4 linked regions of the Ovis aries genome follow. The protein of the gene in region 1 interacts with the protein of each later gene in a pairwise test. Links are inferred from orthologs where the notes say so. Each region holds a gene or a part of one and is shown in the gene's direction. Other genes may lie near its edges. The genes, in order: CKS1B, CBY2, ARID5A and MEOX1.

Region 1 (4,001 bases):
AACCCCAAGTCCAGCCCCCTTCAAGTAGGTCCACCCTTGGAAGGGGCTAAGGGAGAGGGAAAGGGCTGCCTCTAATCTCTTACTCCACAGAGTCAGAGATGTGAACTTTTGACCCTATCCAGTGGAGCCTAAGAGCTCAGGAAAACTGAGCCAAGGGCCCCAAAGAGAAAAGGAACGAGGAAGCGCAAGCAGGTGAAGTTTCTGGGATTGAAGACAAAGCTCCTGAGGCGATGACAAGGGTCCAACCGGGATAACGCTCCTGAAGGGGCGTGGCCCCTCAAGACGCGTGCACCAGAGACTCCCAGGAGGCGAGGCTTCTGGACGATCCGACGTGGATTAAGGAAGGGGCGAGGCTTCTAAAGGGGCGGAACCCTTAGGGAGGCGTGGCCTCACGAATTCGAATAGTTCTTTGAGTAGCAGGGTTCTGCCCTTTTGGGAGTTAGGCTTTTGATAGACAGGGGTTAACGGAGAATAGTCTCGAGAAGGCGGGGTTTCGGGGAATCGGAAGGACTAATGCAGGGGTTTGGAAGCATGTCTGGGGGTGGGACTTCCAGGAAAGCTGGACGACAGGGTAGGATTGGGGACAGTAAATGGAATATAAGTCGGGGTTCGGAGAGCCCCCTGAAGTTGGGAGGTGGGACTTCCGGGGAGGGGGTCGCAGAGGGCGGGACTTGTAAATGAAGACCGGAAGTAGGGTCCCGGGAGAGGGGTTCCGGGGTAGAGGAGTGGGTCACCTAAGAAGAAAAATGTCCCAACTCACCAGGACTTCATGGAGTCTCCGCACCGCACCGCGGGCCGATTTGGTTCCGGATCACGCCACTGTCTCCTCAGGTTGCCGCTCCAACTTTCTCCCCGGGCCCGGCCTCCCTGGAGAAACTTTATTGCACTCACTTCCGGCCTCACTAACCCCTGACCCTGTACCTCATTGTCCCTCCTTCACCCGTCCCTCTTTCCCGAATCAACCAATGGCAGTGCGCGGACGAGCACAGTAGCAGTGATAGCCAATAAAACGTCTATTTTTTACTTACGGCAATTCTTGAGCAATGTTCATTCCAATGAGGACTTGAGTAGAAGCAAACCTAAGCCAATCGGAGGCTTGAAGGTGGGGTTGTCCCGCCTTCCGGCAGAGGGACCAATAGAAAGCGCAGGCGGCGTGTTTGAAAGCGAGGCCAAAGAGGGTGGGAGCGCGTGCTGCTGGGAGTTGTTCGGAGGTTGGCGGCGCGGGGCTGAAGGTCCTCAGGCAGAGTGATCATGTCGCACAAACAAATTTACTATTCGGACAAATACGACGACGAGGAGTTCGAGTACCGGTTAGTGCCGGCGCGGGGGCAATATCAAGGTCGTGAGTTCTGACAACTGAGGGCACGAGAAGTTGGTAACGGGGACTGAAAACTGCAGAGTTGGCGCATGCGCGGGAGGTTAACGGGAATGGGTGTGCTGAGAGTGTGAGGCGCATGCGCGAAAGGTAGGGGGGCAATCAAAAAAAACCCCTAGAGTGATAGCGAATTTGGAAGGAGGCATGGGTGGTCGTGGTTAGAGTGTTCGAATGTTAGAATACTGACCACCCTCAGCTTTGCGGGTTTCTGGACCATTCTCTCACCTCAGTTGAGTAAACTGAACTTGCCTTCCTGAGACTGCTTGTATTACAGCCACACCGTAGAGCCTTCTGGGAGAAGGTGGCAAAGGCGAAGCTTGAATTTTCTTCGAGTCTTCAAAGTGAGGAGAGTTCTAAGAGAGCCTGAGTGTTGCTTATTAATCCATGGGAAAGGGGCGTGGTTGTCTGATTTGTTTTAGGAAGGGGGGCTTCGAGGAACTGGAATCGAGTAAAACTGACCAGAACCACTGAGGAAAGACTTAATATGGCCCTAATAGATTACCGTCAAATGTTTGAAGGGCATCTACTTGGGAAACAATTATGGAGTGTTTATAGGTTTCAGGTGTTCTGCTAAAGTACACGGATAAGCCATGGTCCCTGCTTTCAACAGACCTAAAAAATATGTGGAAATACTGACAGGCTTCAGAAAGAAGATGATAATTGGTATAATAGAGCTATGTACATGTAGGTTGTGGTGGGAGCACATAGGATTTACCAAACATGATAAAGAAAGGACTCCATACAGAGTTTGCATTTGATAAGCTCTTAAGTCCATAATTCTAGATTAGAAAATAAAGCAACACAAAGAATTTTACAAATGTTGGCATTCCACTAATCTGTAGTAAGCGTTAATAGTTAAAACAACTGGAAGCTTGGTTTTCGTGTGTTTCTTGAGCCTAGTGCAGGGCTCTGAGCCTTCTGGAGAACTTGGTGTATGCTGTCAAATAACCCTGCCTGCATTGTTTTTATGTCCGATCCTTGGGAAAAGATCCCCAGCCCTGGGATTTCACTGGTGGTCCAGTGGCTAAGATGGTAAACACCCAGTGCAGGAGACTTGGGTTCAATCCCTGGTCAGGGAAGTAGGTCCCACACGCTGCAACTACAATCCCGACCAAAAGAAAAAAAAACACTCCAGCCCTGTTTGAACCCAATTAACTCTTTTCCTCAGCTGTTCTCTACATCTGAACTAGGCTAACTAAAATTGTGTGCTTAAAATGTCTTTGCAGGGCTAGGGAGACATCACTAGTTTCATCCTCTGGAGGATGTAAGTCTTGGCAGTGATATTTGATTTAAGGAAAGGTTTGTTTTGTTTTGTTTTGTTTTGGTCTAAATAGTCCCTGGAAGCCAGTCTTTATGCCATTGGCTTATTAGGATGTAAGCTGTTTTCAGACATTTAAACCAGAATTGACTTACAGGTGGGGGGTGGGGGGGTGAAATCCCTTTTACTTAGCACAGAGAGAGCATTCAGTGCAGTGTCACTGAACATAATAATCAAGTCTGGGTCACCCCAATTCAAGTAGTAATTTCTTTGCTATAAAAGGAGACTTATCCTTGGTTAGGAAAGCATGGAGTCTCCCCCAAAGAAGTCTCGTGGCACATCCTTTCAGAGTTGAAAAATGTAACTTATGAGGATAGATTTTAAAAGAGAAGATTTTTCTATTTCATTCTTGGTGACAGGGGCGGGTAAAAAAGTCTTTATTTCACCAGCAGATAAATTCAGGTCATCTCAGATTTAGTAACCAAATGGATTATGAGAAAAATGTTTGCCTTCAGGTGTTTGTAAAATTGTAAATTGTAAAACTTAAAAAGTGAGGGGATTGTGGACATTTTATACATAGGCCATAGAAATTTATAAAAGTATAAATGTATAAATAGATATCTTTGTTGTTGTCTAGTCGCTAAGTCATGTCCAACTCTCTGCGACCGCATGGATTATAGCCTGCTAGGCTCCTCTGTCCATGGAATTCCCCACGAAAGAATACTGGAGTGGGTTGCCATTTCCTTCTCCATATATTTGATTTTATGTTCTGGCTCTTCCACACAGCACTGCCTGATAGGCCTTTCCTCTCTGAAATCACTTCTCTCTCTTCCTTACAACCCTGTTCAGAACCACCCCTAATTATTAACAGTCTGTGTGTGTGTTCTGGGGCTCCCATTATATTGTTTAAGAGTAATCAACTAGAGGACTGTAAGTGGCTATAATTTTGGCACTCATTCACGGGTGTTATTCATTAATATGTACTTTCTAATATACTTTCGTGAGAATTTACGTAACTTGGCCTGTAACTTGGGCTTTATTTCTAGCTGCCTTTGCACTACAATAAGATTTTATAAACTCCCTGCCATTACAAACTGGTTTCTCTTTTCTTGTCTGTCTTGGCTTTACCTGCTAGCCCCCTCATCTGATAGATTGTACCCAGTTCTGATACAAATTTCCCACCTTCCCACGTTTCTATTACAGGCATGTCATGTTGCCCAAGGACATAGCCAAGCTGGTCCCTAAAACTCATTTGATGTCTGAATCTGAATGGAGGAATCTTGGTGTTCAGCAGAGTCAGGGATGGGTCCATTATATGATCCATGAACCAGGTCAGTGCAATGGCTGAAAGCAACCATGTAGGACCAA
Region 2 (4,105 bases), on another chromosome or scaffold:
CACCTCTGGAATGTTCTGAGTGTTTTGGTGACCAACTTCTGCACAGGACCTATACCTGGCACCTAACGTTGGTATGGCTTTTTCCTTGAGCTAGAAATAGTAATCTTAGGAAAGCTAGTAGCTAAAGACTTTCAGAAGGCTTTGTCATCAACTATATAGACCTGTCTTAATTTCTGTTCAGAGATTGATGAAGCATCTTATCAGATACCATCTTCACATTCTCGTAAGGTACATAATTAACAGGAGGGGAGAAGTGAATAGTAGGAAGTCCTGTTTTGCAGTTGAGCAGCTGAGGCTCAGACGATGGGCTGGAAAACAGAAATCTGCCTATTTTCTCTTTTCCACAGCACTCGAGGCCAAATTTTACAAGAAAAAGAGATACCAGATCTGAAAGCCTAGAAATTCCCATCAATGTGGTTCTACCTCAGGTAGGGATGAACACTGAAGGCTGTAACCTCTCAGTTTTGGCCAGAATAATCCCCCTCTTTCCAAGCTCTAGCAAGATACTGCAGGTCAGTGGTAGCCAGGGCCTCAGATTCTAGCTGAAGGTCAGCTGCCAGCCAGCTGTGTGCCAGGGGCAGTCCACTTAGTCACTTGGAGTCTTGGGTTTCCGGTCAGATGAGAGGGTGGGTTCATTGATCTGGTAAGACCATCCAGCCCGACCACTAGAAGTTTCTGTGACAATCTTTTCAAAATTAGAGCGTTTGGAGCTTCTTTACCACCAGGGGGCACTAGTGGTAAAGAAACCGCCTGCCAATGCAAAAGACGCAAGAGACCCGGGTTCGATCCCTGGGTGGGGAAGATCCCCTGGAGGAGGAAATGGCAACCCACTCCAGAATTCTTGCCTGGAGAATCCCACGGACAGAGGAGCCTAACGGGCTACAGTCCAGAGGGTTGCAGAGTCGGACACGACTGAAGCGACTTAGCACACACCCACATTGTGCACTACTCTGGACTTCTGGGTAGAGGATTAGAACTGAGACTTGGGATCAAGGGCACAGGCCCGAACCCATACACCTGGGACATGGACCGAGGGGTCTGGGCTCCTGTGGAGGGGTCAGGAGAATTAGGGCCTGCCGTGTACCAGGGACAGAGCGTAAGGGGGATGAGCCTGGGGGGGTCAGAATGGAGGCCAGCGCACGGGCGACAGGCTGGACATTCTCAGTTCTCCTTCTGCTAAGCAGCCGTTTCCCGGGAGGGGTCCTCCTGATTGGATTGTTTCTGCTGCTATGTCACAAAGGGGGCAGCCTTGCTTCTCCAGAGTCACCTAAGGCCCTGGGGGAAGATCATGGCGGTGCAACCAGAGGGGCTGAAATGTAGGGTGGAGGAATCCAACGCAGAGGTAACGATCTGAAAGCTCTGTCCAGGGATGTGTGGGGAGAGGGTTGACTCCCCAGTGGGGTCTTGGAGGCATGAAATTAGAGTTCAACCTGCTGCCTGTGCCACACACGGGCAGATGAGCGTCCAGGGTACTCTGGAGGCGCACAAGTCCTGAGTCAGGCTCCAGACCCCTGCCAGGATGGGCTGGGCACACTCTGGGGGAAGCGTGCTCAGTCGCACCCGACTCTTTGCCACCCCGTGGACTGTGGCCCCGCCAGGCTCCTCTGTCCATGGGATTCTCCAGGCAAGAGTACTGGAGTGGGTTGCCATTTCCTTCTCTCTGGGGATAAAGGGGCACCTCTGCGTTTAGATGATCTGAGCGGGCTGTGAGAGGGACCAGTGTGCCGACTGGACCTCCCCAAAGGAGAGGCTGACGGCTGGTGGCAGGGGAAGGGTTGATCTGGGTCACACGGGGAAGAAAGGAGAGTGACTGCGCACTGGATTGGTCACATCGGGGCCCTGGGCCATGCAGAGCGAGGGAGAGATTGCAAAGGACCGGGAACTGGGAACCTCAGCAAGTCCACTAGTAATGGCGGAGCTGGAGTTAGAGGCTTGAAGCCAGGTCAGTGCCCACGTCCTCTGCCACAAGCTGGGCACATGCCGCCTGCTTCTTCCCTGGCTTTTAGGACAGGGTGCCTCCCCACCCCCCATCTTAACTGCCAAGCCCCTGCACGAATCTGCCACATTCTGCTCCGTTCTGGTTCTGAGACTGAGTCCATTTGTTTTGAGAAGAAATTGCAGGAGCAGCTCTGTGTCTCCAGAAAGTGCCTCTGCACCCCCCCAGCTCCCAACCCTGCCTGAACGCTTCTCATTTGCATTGCGAATGTCTGTGATTCTCTATTTGTTATCACCCTTAGGTCTTTTCGGGTCTTATTGATTTCCAGTTTTCCTTCCTCACAGTAAATATTTGTGTTTTCTAATCTGTTTCTCTCCAGGGCATTAACTTGCCAGCCTTCCCTAGTTACTTCCTTCCCAAGTTCTCTGCACGCCGCCCCTCCACCTCCCTTGCCCCCCCCCCCCCCCTTGCCCCCCCCACCTCCCTTGCCCCCGCCCCCCCCCCATTCCTTTTCTACCTACCGGTTCTCCCCAGCACTCCCATTTTCCCAGTGAGCACTCTCTGTGAATCTCATAAAGGCACTGTTTCCTGCGAGATTGTTAATGAAGGCTCCTCACCAGGTCAGAATAGGGTCCCATCACCCCTCCAGGGCCCCGCCTTGTCCCTCTCTGTTGCCTTTTTTCAATCCCCTTTGTTTGGGTTTGTTCTTTGGAAGCTATGGAATCTGTGGCCGACAATGCCTGTAGCTCTGCCAGTTTGAAAAAGTGTTAGGAGGATTTCGGAAGATTCTGTGTTAAACAATTAGCTAAAACTACCACATACGATGAGAGAGGACATCTTTAGCCTCTTTGCTGTTAGTATTAGGATTCTATCCAAATCAATTACATTGACCTGCAAATTATCCTCTTATCTGTTAGCGTTTATTAAAACCAACATTGACTTTCTCATGGCACTTGGGAGCGGAGTTGATTTAAGCATATGCTCGTGATACTCAGCCTTGTCACCTGGTCTGAAAATTAGTGGCAGATCTGGAGAATCCTAGGGACAGAGGAGCCTGGTGGGCTGCCATCTATGGGGTTGCACAGAGTTGGACACGACTGAAGTGACTTAGCAGCAGTAGCAGCAGCAGCAGCTGCCTTTCCTTCCAGCATATTCTGGGTCTCAGCTTCCCCAGGCTTGAAACGTAACCCCAGAGGGCTGAATATTCTCTGACCATAACCCTCAGTAATGCTGGCAAAAGCAGGGCTTTAAAAACACTTGGTCAACAGACTTGGAGTCTGCTGAGGGCATTTGGACGTCTCTTCTGGTCTGTGGAAGTGCAGAGAATCTCAGTGCCTGGCAACTAAACTGGCAAGTCACTGTCCAGTTCTGTTCCCCAACGCTTCAGATGGGAGGCCAGCAACCTCAAAAGCTCCATCCCCGAAGGTCCTATTCCTTAGATACCCCTTAGCTTCAGAAAGATGCTTTGGTCTTATTACCTCCCCTCTGCCCTTAGCCCTACCCCCGTTTCTAGCCACCATCCCTCCTGTGTGGGCTCCATTTGCCACACAAAAGGCTGGTGATCTGACCGAAGCATGCAGTTGGTTATCTCATACACTTTCCTTCCAGTACCACGTGTATTTTAAAAACGGATGCTGGGGAGAAGGATGAAGAGTGAAGAGTGAAAGTGTTAGTCGCTCAGTCACGTTTGCTACTCGGCAGCCCCACGGACTGTAGCCCGCCAGGCTCCTCTGTCCATGGGATTGTCCGGGCAAGACTACTGGAGTGGGCTGCCATTCCCTTCTCCAGGGGATCTTCCGGACCCAGGGATGGAACCAGGGTCTCCTGCATTGCAGGCAGACTGAGCCACCAGGGAGGCCCAGGGCTGATGCTGAGGATGGAGCTCAGCCACAGGTGGGATTCAGGCATCTGAGCGGGAGCTCTCGGGACCCAGGGCCCTTCCTGCGTCCTTAGCACTGATGCAGCTTCTTTAGGTCACAGCCGGGAGCACTTTGCTCCCGAGAGCAGCATCTCTGGGTCACCTTCCTAACAAAGCCACGGCCACACGTCTCCCCTCCTGCTTCCTTCCTGTATCCCGTTCTTCCATGAAGAAGCCCCCCGCTTCTCCTCTCCCACCTATGAGGGCATGTCCTACATGTCAAGGAAGAAACTGTCCTTTCTTTCTTGGAA
Region 3 (3,174 bases), on another chromosome or scaffold:
GCCCACCAGCTATACCCTGACGTGGCACCCTTGCAGGTGACTGGCCGCCGCCTCTGGAAGAACGTGTACGATGAGCTGGGAGGCAGCCCGGGCAGCACCAGTGCGGCCACATGCACGCGCCGCCACTACGAGAGGTGCGGGCCCTGGGCTGCCCCCCGGCAACTCCGACGGGCGGTGGGGTGGGGGCCGCCACTACGAGAGGTGCGGGGCCCTGGGCTGCCCCCCGGCAACTCCGACGGGCGGTGGGGTGGGGGCCGCCACTACGAGAGGTGCGGGGCCCTGGGCTGCCCCCCCGGCAACTCTGATGGGCGGTGGGGTGGGGGCCGCCACTACAAGAGGTGCGGGCCCCTGGGCTGCCCCCCGGCAACTCTGATGGGCGGTGGGCTGGGGGCGGGCGGCAGCCCCCACAGCTGGGGGGTGTCTGTGTGCTGGTCGGGCAGGGGTGTTGGCGGTCTGGGCCGGGGGGAAGCCGGGGTGGGCCTAGAAGGGTGGGAGCCTCCTGCTAGCCTGGCCCCCTGGCGACATGCCCGGCTCCTCCCCAGGCTGGTCCTCCCATACGTGCGGCACCTGAAGGGGGAGGATGACAAGCCCCTGCCCCCCTCCAAGCCCAGGAAGCAGTACAAGATGGCCAAGGAGCCTCGGGGGGATGATGGGGCCACTGAGAGACCAAAGAAGGTCAAGGAGGAGAAGCGGGTGGACCAGGTGAGCTCCAAGCCCCGTGCCATACCTCTCAAAGCGCCCCCTACCAGCTCACTGTGGCTGCAGAGCTCCCTGCCTGGAACCCCCAGAACACCTCTCTCCCCCAAGGGCAGCACCGGGGCGGGGGGGCAAGGGTCATGGAGTGGTTCATTACTTGAGGGCCCTCAAGTTGGGAGTGCACGTGGGGTCTGAGTCCTAGTCTGCACCCCATTTCACCAGGCCCCATGTCCTGACACCAAGCTGTGTCTGTTCAGCGGATGGGACGCCTTTTGACAGTTTTACACGAACGTGCTGGAAGAGCTGGCTCCCTCCTGTCCCCTGAGGCTTGGCCTTTTCTCATTCTAGCTGATGCCAGCAAAGACCAAAGCAGATGCCCCTGACCTGGCAAGGCTTCCTAGCCAGGAGACACCCAGGGATGGCATGGAGCAGCGAGGCCCAGCCGTGGGGCCCTCTCTGCCCTTTTTGGGTGCCAGTGGCTGCCCTGAGGCCTACAAACGGCTCCTGTCTAGCTTCTACTGCAGAGGGACACATGGTATCATGTCACCGCTGGCCAAAAAGAAGCTCCTGGCCCAGGTGAGCAAGGCAGAGGCCTTGCAGTGTCAGGAGGAGGGCTGTCGCCACGGGGCAGGTGGGGAGCCCCAGGGACCCCCAGCTGCCCCGCCCGTGGAGAGTCCCCAGAGCCCAGGAGGGCCGGCCGAGGACTCCAGGGACCGGCTGACACCCCTGGAAGGAAGGCAGGCCCCCGGGGGCGGCCTCTGGCGGGAGACACAGGCAGGCCCTCGCCCGTCGGCCCCCGTTGTCACCGGCTGCTTCCACGCCTACCCCAGCGAAGTGCTGAAGCCTGTCAGCCAGCGTCCCAGGGACCTTTTCCCCAGTCTTAAAGATAGGGTGTTGTTGGGGCCCCCTGCCAAGGAGGAGGGGCTGCCAGCCAAAGAGCCCCCGCTGGTGTGGGGTGGGGATGCCGGCCGCCCTTCTGCATTCCACAAGGGCAGCTCCAGAAAGGGCAGCCTCTACCCCAAACCCAAAGCCTGCTGGGTGTCCCCCATGACCAAGGTCCCTGCTGAGAGCCCCATGCCCCTGCCAACCTTCCCGAGCAGCCCAGGCCTGGGCCACAAGCGCAGCCTGGCGGAAGAGGGCTCGGTCCACGGTGGCAAAAAACTGCGGGCAGTGTCTCCCTTTCTGAAGGAGGCGAATGCCCAGGAGTGTGGGACCAAGCCCGGGGGCCCTGACTTGGCCGTCTCCTGCCTGCTGGGCCCCGCCCTCCCGGAGGCCTACAGGGGTACCATGCTGCACTGTCCACTGAACCTCGCTGGCACCCTGGGCCCCTTAAAGGGCCAGGCCACCCTCCCCTTCAGCCCCCTGGTCATCCCTGCCTTCCCAGCCCACCTGCTGGCCGCCACAGCGCCCTCGCCCATGACCGCTGGCCTGATGCACCTCCCACCGGCATCCTTTGATGGTGCCCTGTGCCACAGACTCTGCCCGGCCTCGTCTCCATGGCACGTGCCTCCTGCCACGGCCTACACGGCACCCCACTTCTCTTTCCACCTCAACACCAAGCTGTAGGTCTGGGCCTGCTGTGCTGTGCGCAGTCAGGGTCTGGCCTCAGCCTGGGGTGGGTGGGCACTGCCGGGAGCTCTGGCTCGGAGCCCCTCAGGAGAGCTCGCCTGTGCCTGACAGGGATGGGCCCCCGGCTGGGAAGCCTGGCCCAGAAGGCTCTGGGCAGACTGGGTTTCTCTCTCAAGATGGCAGCCTGAGCCCAGGGGCTGGGGCCCAGTGATGGCATGCCTCAGGAGAAGACATCGAGAGGTGGACAGCCCCCAGCCCGGGCCCCAGAGCAGGGATCGGGGCGGGTGAAGGGCCACGGGGCTGTCCATGCTGCCTGTGGAAAATCCAATAAAACACCAGTGAATCCACGCAGCCCTGAGGTGTGTGTGGTGTGGACCTTTGCAGGAGCAGTGAGGCGGGGGTGTTCTCATGGGCAGCGCCACCCATAGGGTGATGGGGAGCCAAGGAGAGGGACCTGCCCAGCACCCACTCCTGCCTGGGACGCTGTCACTGGACTAACGAGCAGGGCCAGGGCAAACCCAGCCTCCCGCTCATACTTCTGCACGCTGTGCCCTTCGTCCTGTGCCTTCAGCCCACTGGGCTGGTTGAGTCTGGGGACAGCCAGCTGTTACCTTCCTCATGGTGCAGATCGGAGTCTGAGGCTCAGAGAGGCTGGGACTTGCCCCGTTCCCCCGTGGGTACGTGGGGGAGCAGAGCTGTGCACTGGGCGTGATCCAGCACCCTGAGCTAAACCACGTGGGTGCCCTGCAGCTGTCGGCAGTGCTCCTGGGGCTGAGGGTGCAAGCAGGACGCTGGCGTCGCTTGCCCTGGTGCTGGATGCCGACTTGGGGGCTGCTGCCGAGTCTTCTTGGCGAGCCCTTCTACTAGCCTGCCACATGTGTGGGGTGGGAGAGCAGGTGGTTCCCACCG
Region 4 (4,024 bases), on another chromosome or scaffold:
CCAGGGATTGAACTCTGGTCTCCTGCATGCATTGCAGGCGGATCCTTTACCCTCTGAGCCACGAGGGAAGCTCTTAGACAATGAGACTGTTTGTCAAAGAGAACTCTTTGGGGACTTCCCTGGTGGTCCAGTGGCTAAGACTCCACGCTCCCAATGCAGGGAGCCCGGGGTTCATTCCTTGGTCAAGGAACTAGATACTATGTGCTGCAATAAAAATCGAAGATCCCCCATGCCGCAGCTAAGATTTGGTGCAGCCAAGTAAATAAATATTTTTAAAAAGAGAGAGAGAGAATTCTTTGGGAAACGAGAAGCTCCTGATTCCAATTTCCATGCACAGACTCCATGGAAAACTTGGCCTCTGGGGGTGGGGAAGACAAAGCAGGTGGGCGAAGGTTACAGGGCCAGAGAGCAGGTGGGGGAAGCCAGGAGAAACTTCAAGGAACCTACCTAAGTGTCTTTCCTTTGCCTTGGGGAAAAATGACTTGAAACCCCACTAGACAAGAGTGTGGCTAATTGGCATGTAAGTTGGGGGTTAAAGAGCGGAAGGAAGAATCTGATTGTTTTTTTAAGTTACTGAGAAAGTGAGAATGTCACTGTGGGCTGAGAGAAATAATTTTTTTTTCTGGAGTGTGTCTCTCTTTCTACTACAGACCGTAGTGGGCCACTGAGACTTGCAAAAAAAGATTGCTTTTAATCCACCTTCCTTTTTGCAAGCAGCAGTAGAAGGGCCTTTAAATCAAATGCAATCAGCAAACTTGTCTCTTGCACTTATTCCCCGCTTCACTCCCTGGAATTTGGCACTTGATGGTTTCTGGATCTGACTTAAGTCTTTTTTCAAATCCAAGACTTGGGGAATTTTGTTAACAGTGCAATAAAATAACTTCATAGTGTTATAGGAGGCACATTAAAGAAAGTGTGTGTGTGCTGCTCTCTTTCCTTAAAAAAAAATACAGACAATGTTTCTTTAAAAGACTCCATCTGCAAATCCCATTAGATGTGCATATAAGGTTTCTGATGATTAATAGTTGCCTGCTCGGGTTTTGGTTGGAGGGGATCGTGTGTGTGCTGGTTAACCCCTCCCTCTCCTCTCTCACATTTCACTTCAGAAATTTGTCACTCTCTCCCCACCGCAGGATTTAAAAGTGTGTCTCAGCAGCCCTGGACCAGCTCTTTGCAGGCATTTGCTGCGGGCTCCAGGACAAGCCCTCGTCAGCCGGTGCGTCTGGGCTGGGACAGTGAAAATGTTTAGTGTCATCGGCGACAAATACACGTATAGGGGACCCCACTAGGCAGGCTGGTGGGTCAGGGGGAACAGGAAGCCAGGAGCCAAATCCAACATAGGTGCGGGCACACATATGTGTGGCCACCCACACGTGTGCGTACTCTGAGGAGCAACTTTCATTTTGGTTTTTGTTTTGGTTCCTGGGGCGAATTTTCTATCGAACACTTTTGCCCTCCTGTTCATTAAAAAAAAAAAAATTTTTTTTGGTTGCATTTTTAACAATTTGAATATAAAAAGTGTAAGAATCCAACCTTTGAAAGGATTGAGGCGGGCAGCAGACGCAGATGGATCCAGCGGCCAGCAGCTGCATGAGGGGTCCCCACCCCCCGGCCCCTGTCTGGGGCTGCCTTCGAAACCCCCACTTGGAAGGCACTGGAGCCTCAGGGCTCCCCCACTACCCGCCAACCCCATTCTCCTTCCACCAGAAACCAGACTTCCCAGCGACAGCGACAACTACATACCCCAACTTCTCAGCTTCATGCCTGGCAGCCACCCCACACAGCCTGCCCCAGGAGGAGCGAGGCTTTACTGAGCAGCACCCTGCCTTCCCACAACCCCCCGATTGGCACTTCCCTGTGTCAGAGGCCCGGCGTAGGCTCAACCCAGGCCCCGTGGGGGGTTCCAAGGAGATAGGGGCCAACAGCCCAGGCCTGGTGGACACGACGGGAGGCCCAGGCGAGGACTATGAGGTCCTTGGGAGCACTGCCAATGAGACGGAGAAGAAGTCAACCAGACGGAAAAAGGAGAATTCAGGTAGGTGGCTGAGGAACAGATGACTGTTCCTTTACTGTGTGACTTTGAGGAAGTTGCTTGCCCTCTCTGAGCCTAGGTAGCCTGATGTGAATGGGGGATAATATAATCTAACCTCCCCAAAGGCCGGAGACTTAAACCAGTTACCTTTGGGGGTATTTCTGCTCAGAATTCTAGGATTCTCTGGTGATGGGGGCTATGTCTGTGTCCTCACCTCTCCTGGGTTCCGAGAAGGATGTGCTGGAAAGAGAATGAAACAGGATCCACAAAGATTGGAGGGCAGGTGGGATGGAGCCTCTGGGTACAGGTTGGCAAAGGCTGGAGGGAGCTTTTCTGAACTGGACTGTGTCTGGGTCACAGTTCTCCCCAGTATGCCCCAGCCTGTTCCAAATGGCCCCGAGAGCCCCAGGGCTTACTCCCCAGGAGAGTTAGTTTACTCCCCAAGGCTCAGAGGGCTAGGACCAAGGCTGGGACCCTGGGCAATCAAACAGAACCAGGACTCTGTGTCTCTGGAAGTCTAGAGGCAGCAAAGCAGACATAGGGCAGGGATGCGAGAGGCAAATGCTAGGGTTTGGGGCAGACTGACCGTGAGGAATGCACTGCCCTGCTGGGCTGTGTGTACAGGCCGAGGGGCAGCACAACCTGCTAAGGTCTGGGTGATCTCCCAAAGGCCACTCCTCAGAGGAGCCCTTCTGAGGAGTCACTGATTTGGGGGAGAGTCAGAGAGGCAAGCAGCAGAGGGTAAGCCCTGGTGGAGTATCAGAGGCCAGAGGATGGAGCTGACCTGCTTGTTCAGACCCCATTAATGTCCATCTGCTCCTGGTGGTGGGGACTGTTGTTTCCTCATCTCCCCACGGGATCTCCCAACTTTTCTCACCACCCATTCACCTTTTGTCTCATTCCCCGTCTCTATCTCGACCAGAACAAGACAGTGCCCTTGCTTCCTGCACCCACTGCCCGACTATGTCCTCCTAACGACTGCCCTCAGGGTACATCTATCTGTCTGAACCTACAGAAGAGTTTTCATGGGGCTAATGAGGAGCAGGCAGCAAATGAGAAGACCAACCAAAGAGAACACTCTCTGCTTTAGTTTACAAAGTGCTTTCAAAGTAGCCCAGATTTCCTGAGCATCTTTGTTTGCTGAGTTTTGGCAGAGGCCCTGGGGCTGCAGGGATGAATAAGGTGTTCTCACTCCTAAACAGCTCAAACTGAGAGGGAGGGGAGGCCAGCAGAAGCCACTGGCAGTGGATATGCTATGACTGAGGGGGTTCAAGGTGCTGTAAGAAACATATGATAGTTCTGAGTCACACAGGTTCAAGTTTGGTCTATCAGGTCTTATCAGTGCCTCGATTCTTTACATGTGGAAAAGAAGAGACTGAAAAGCTTGAGAGGAGTTCTGCTAACATGGAGTTAACAGAGAGTGACTCACTCATCCGAATGTACCCAGCACTTTCCTGGTTTTAGCACTGAAAGTCCAGTGTCCCCAGGACAGTTGGTCACCCTAGAAGAAAGCTCAAACCTCAGACTTCAGACCCCAAATCCCACACCCTTCAGTAGATCTCAAACGCAATTCTCATTTTGAAATATCTGGTCTCCATGCTTGAAGAAGTCCCTCAGTGTGCTCACAGTGGATGATAAAAACCACAGTCCCTGGTGGTCCAGTGGTTAAGACCCTGTGCTTCCCCTGCAGGGGGCAAGGGTTCAATACCTGGTCAGGGAACTAAGATTCCAGGTGCCATGCTTCAAGACCAATAAATAAAATAATAATTTCTTTGAGTTAAAAGCAAAGCAAAACAAAACATAGCCCTCTTGGATGCTATGAACAGAAGGGCTCTTTAAATTCTCACCCGGTTAAACCCTGAACTGTTCCTAGGCCTGGCTGGAAATTTGCTGAGAATGGGACACTTTCTGCTTCTCCTCTCCAAGGAACTCTCAGCTCCTTGGCTCTGTGCCTAGTTGAAGAGTTCGCCCCTTTACAGCGCCTGCCACTGT

Evidence for each region.
Region 2: the proteins of CKS1B (region 1) and CBY2 interact in binary tests that used the Homo sapiens proteins (3 or more experiments, as listed by UniProt). The two-hybrid records come from large-scale screens. The link is inferred for Ovis aries from reciprocal best matches to the Homo sapiens genes CKS1B and CBY2.
Region 3: the proteins of CKS1B (region 1) and ARID5A interact in binary tests that used the Homo sapiens proteins (3 or more experiments, as listed by UniProt). The two-hybrid records come from large-scale screens. The link is inferred for Ovis aries from reciprocal best matches to the Homo sapiens genes CKS1B and ARID5A.
Region 4: the proteins of CKS1B (region 1) and MEOX1 interact in binary tests that used the Homo sapiens proteins (3 or more experiments, as listed by UniProt). The two-hybrid records come from large-scale screens. The link is inferred for Ovis aries from reciprocal best matches to the Homo sapiens genes CKS1B and MEOX1.

Annotation. Positions count from the first base shown.
Region 1 is NC_056054.1:105,196,872-105,200,872, forward strand, and holds the start of CKS1B (cyclin-dependent kinases regulatory subunit 1), read left to right. Parts: upstream 1-1,159; 5' UTR 1,160-1,251; coding exon 1,252-1,310; intron 1,311-3,836; coding exon 3,837-3,964; intron 3,965-4,001.
Region 2 is NC_056063.1:16,145,905-16,150,009, forward strand, and holds the start of CBY2 (protein chibby homolog 2), read left to right. Parts: upstream 1-1,288; coding exon 1,289-1,342; intron 1,343-4,105.
Region 3 is NC_056056.1:103,915,175-103,918,348, reverse strand, and holds the end of ARID5A (AT-rich interactive domain-containing protein 5A), read left to right. Parts: intron 1-36; coding exon 37-134; intron 135-202; exon of another isoform or gene 203-269; intron 270-542; coding exon 543-702; intron 703-1,044; coding exon 1,045-2,262; 3' UTR 2,263-2,616; downstream 2,617-3,174. UniProt on the Homo sapiens protein: DNA-binding protein that may regulate transcription and act as a repressor by binding to AT-rich stretches in the promoter region of target genes.
Region 4 is NC_056064.1:43,309,030-43,313,053, reverse strand, and holds the start of MEOX1 (homeobox protein MOX-1), read left to right. Parts: upstream 1-1,165; 5' UTR 1,166-1,566; coding exon 1,567-2,035; intron 2,036-4,024. UniProt on the Homo sapiens protein: Mesodermal transcription factor that plays a key role in somitogenesis and is specifically required for sclerotome development. Required for maintenance of the sclerotome polarity and formation of the cranio-cervical joints.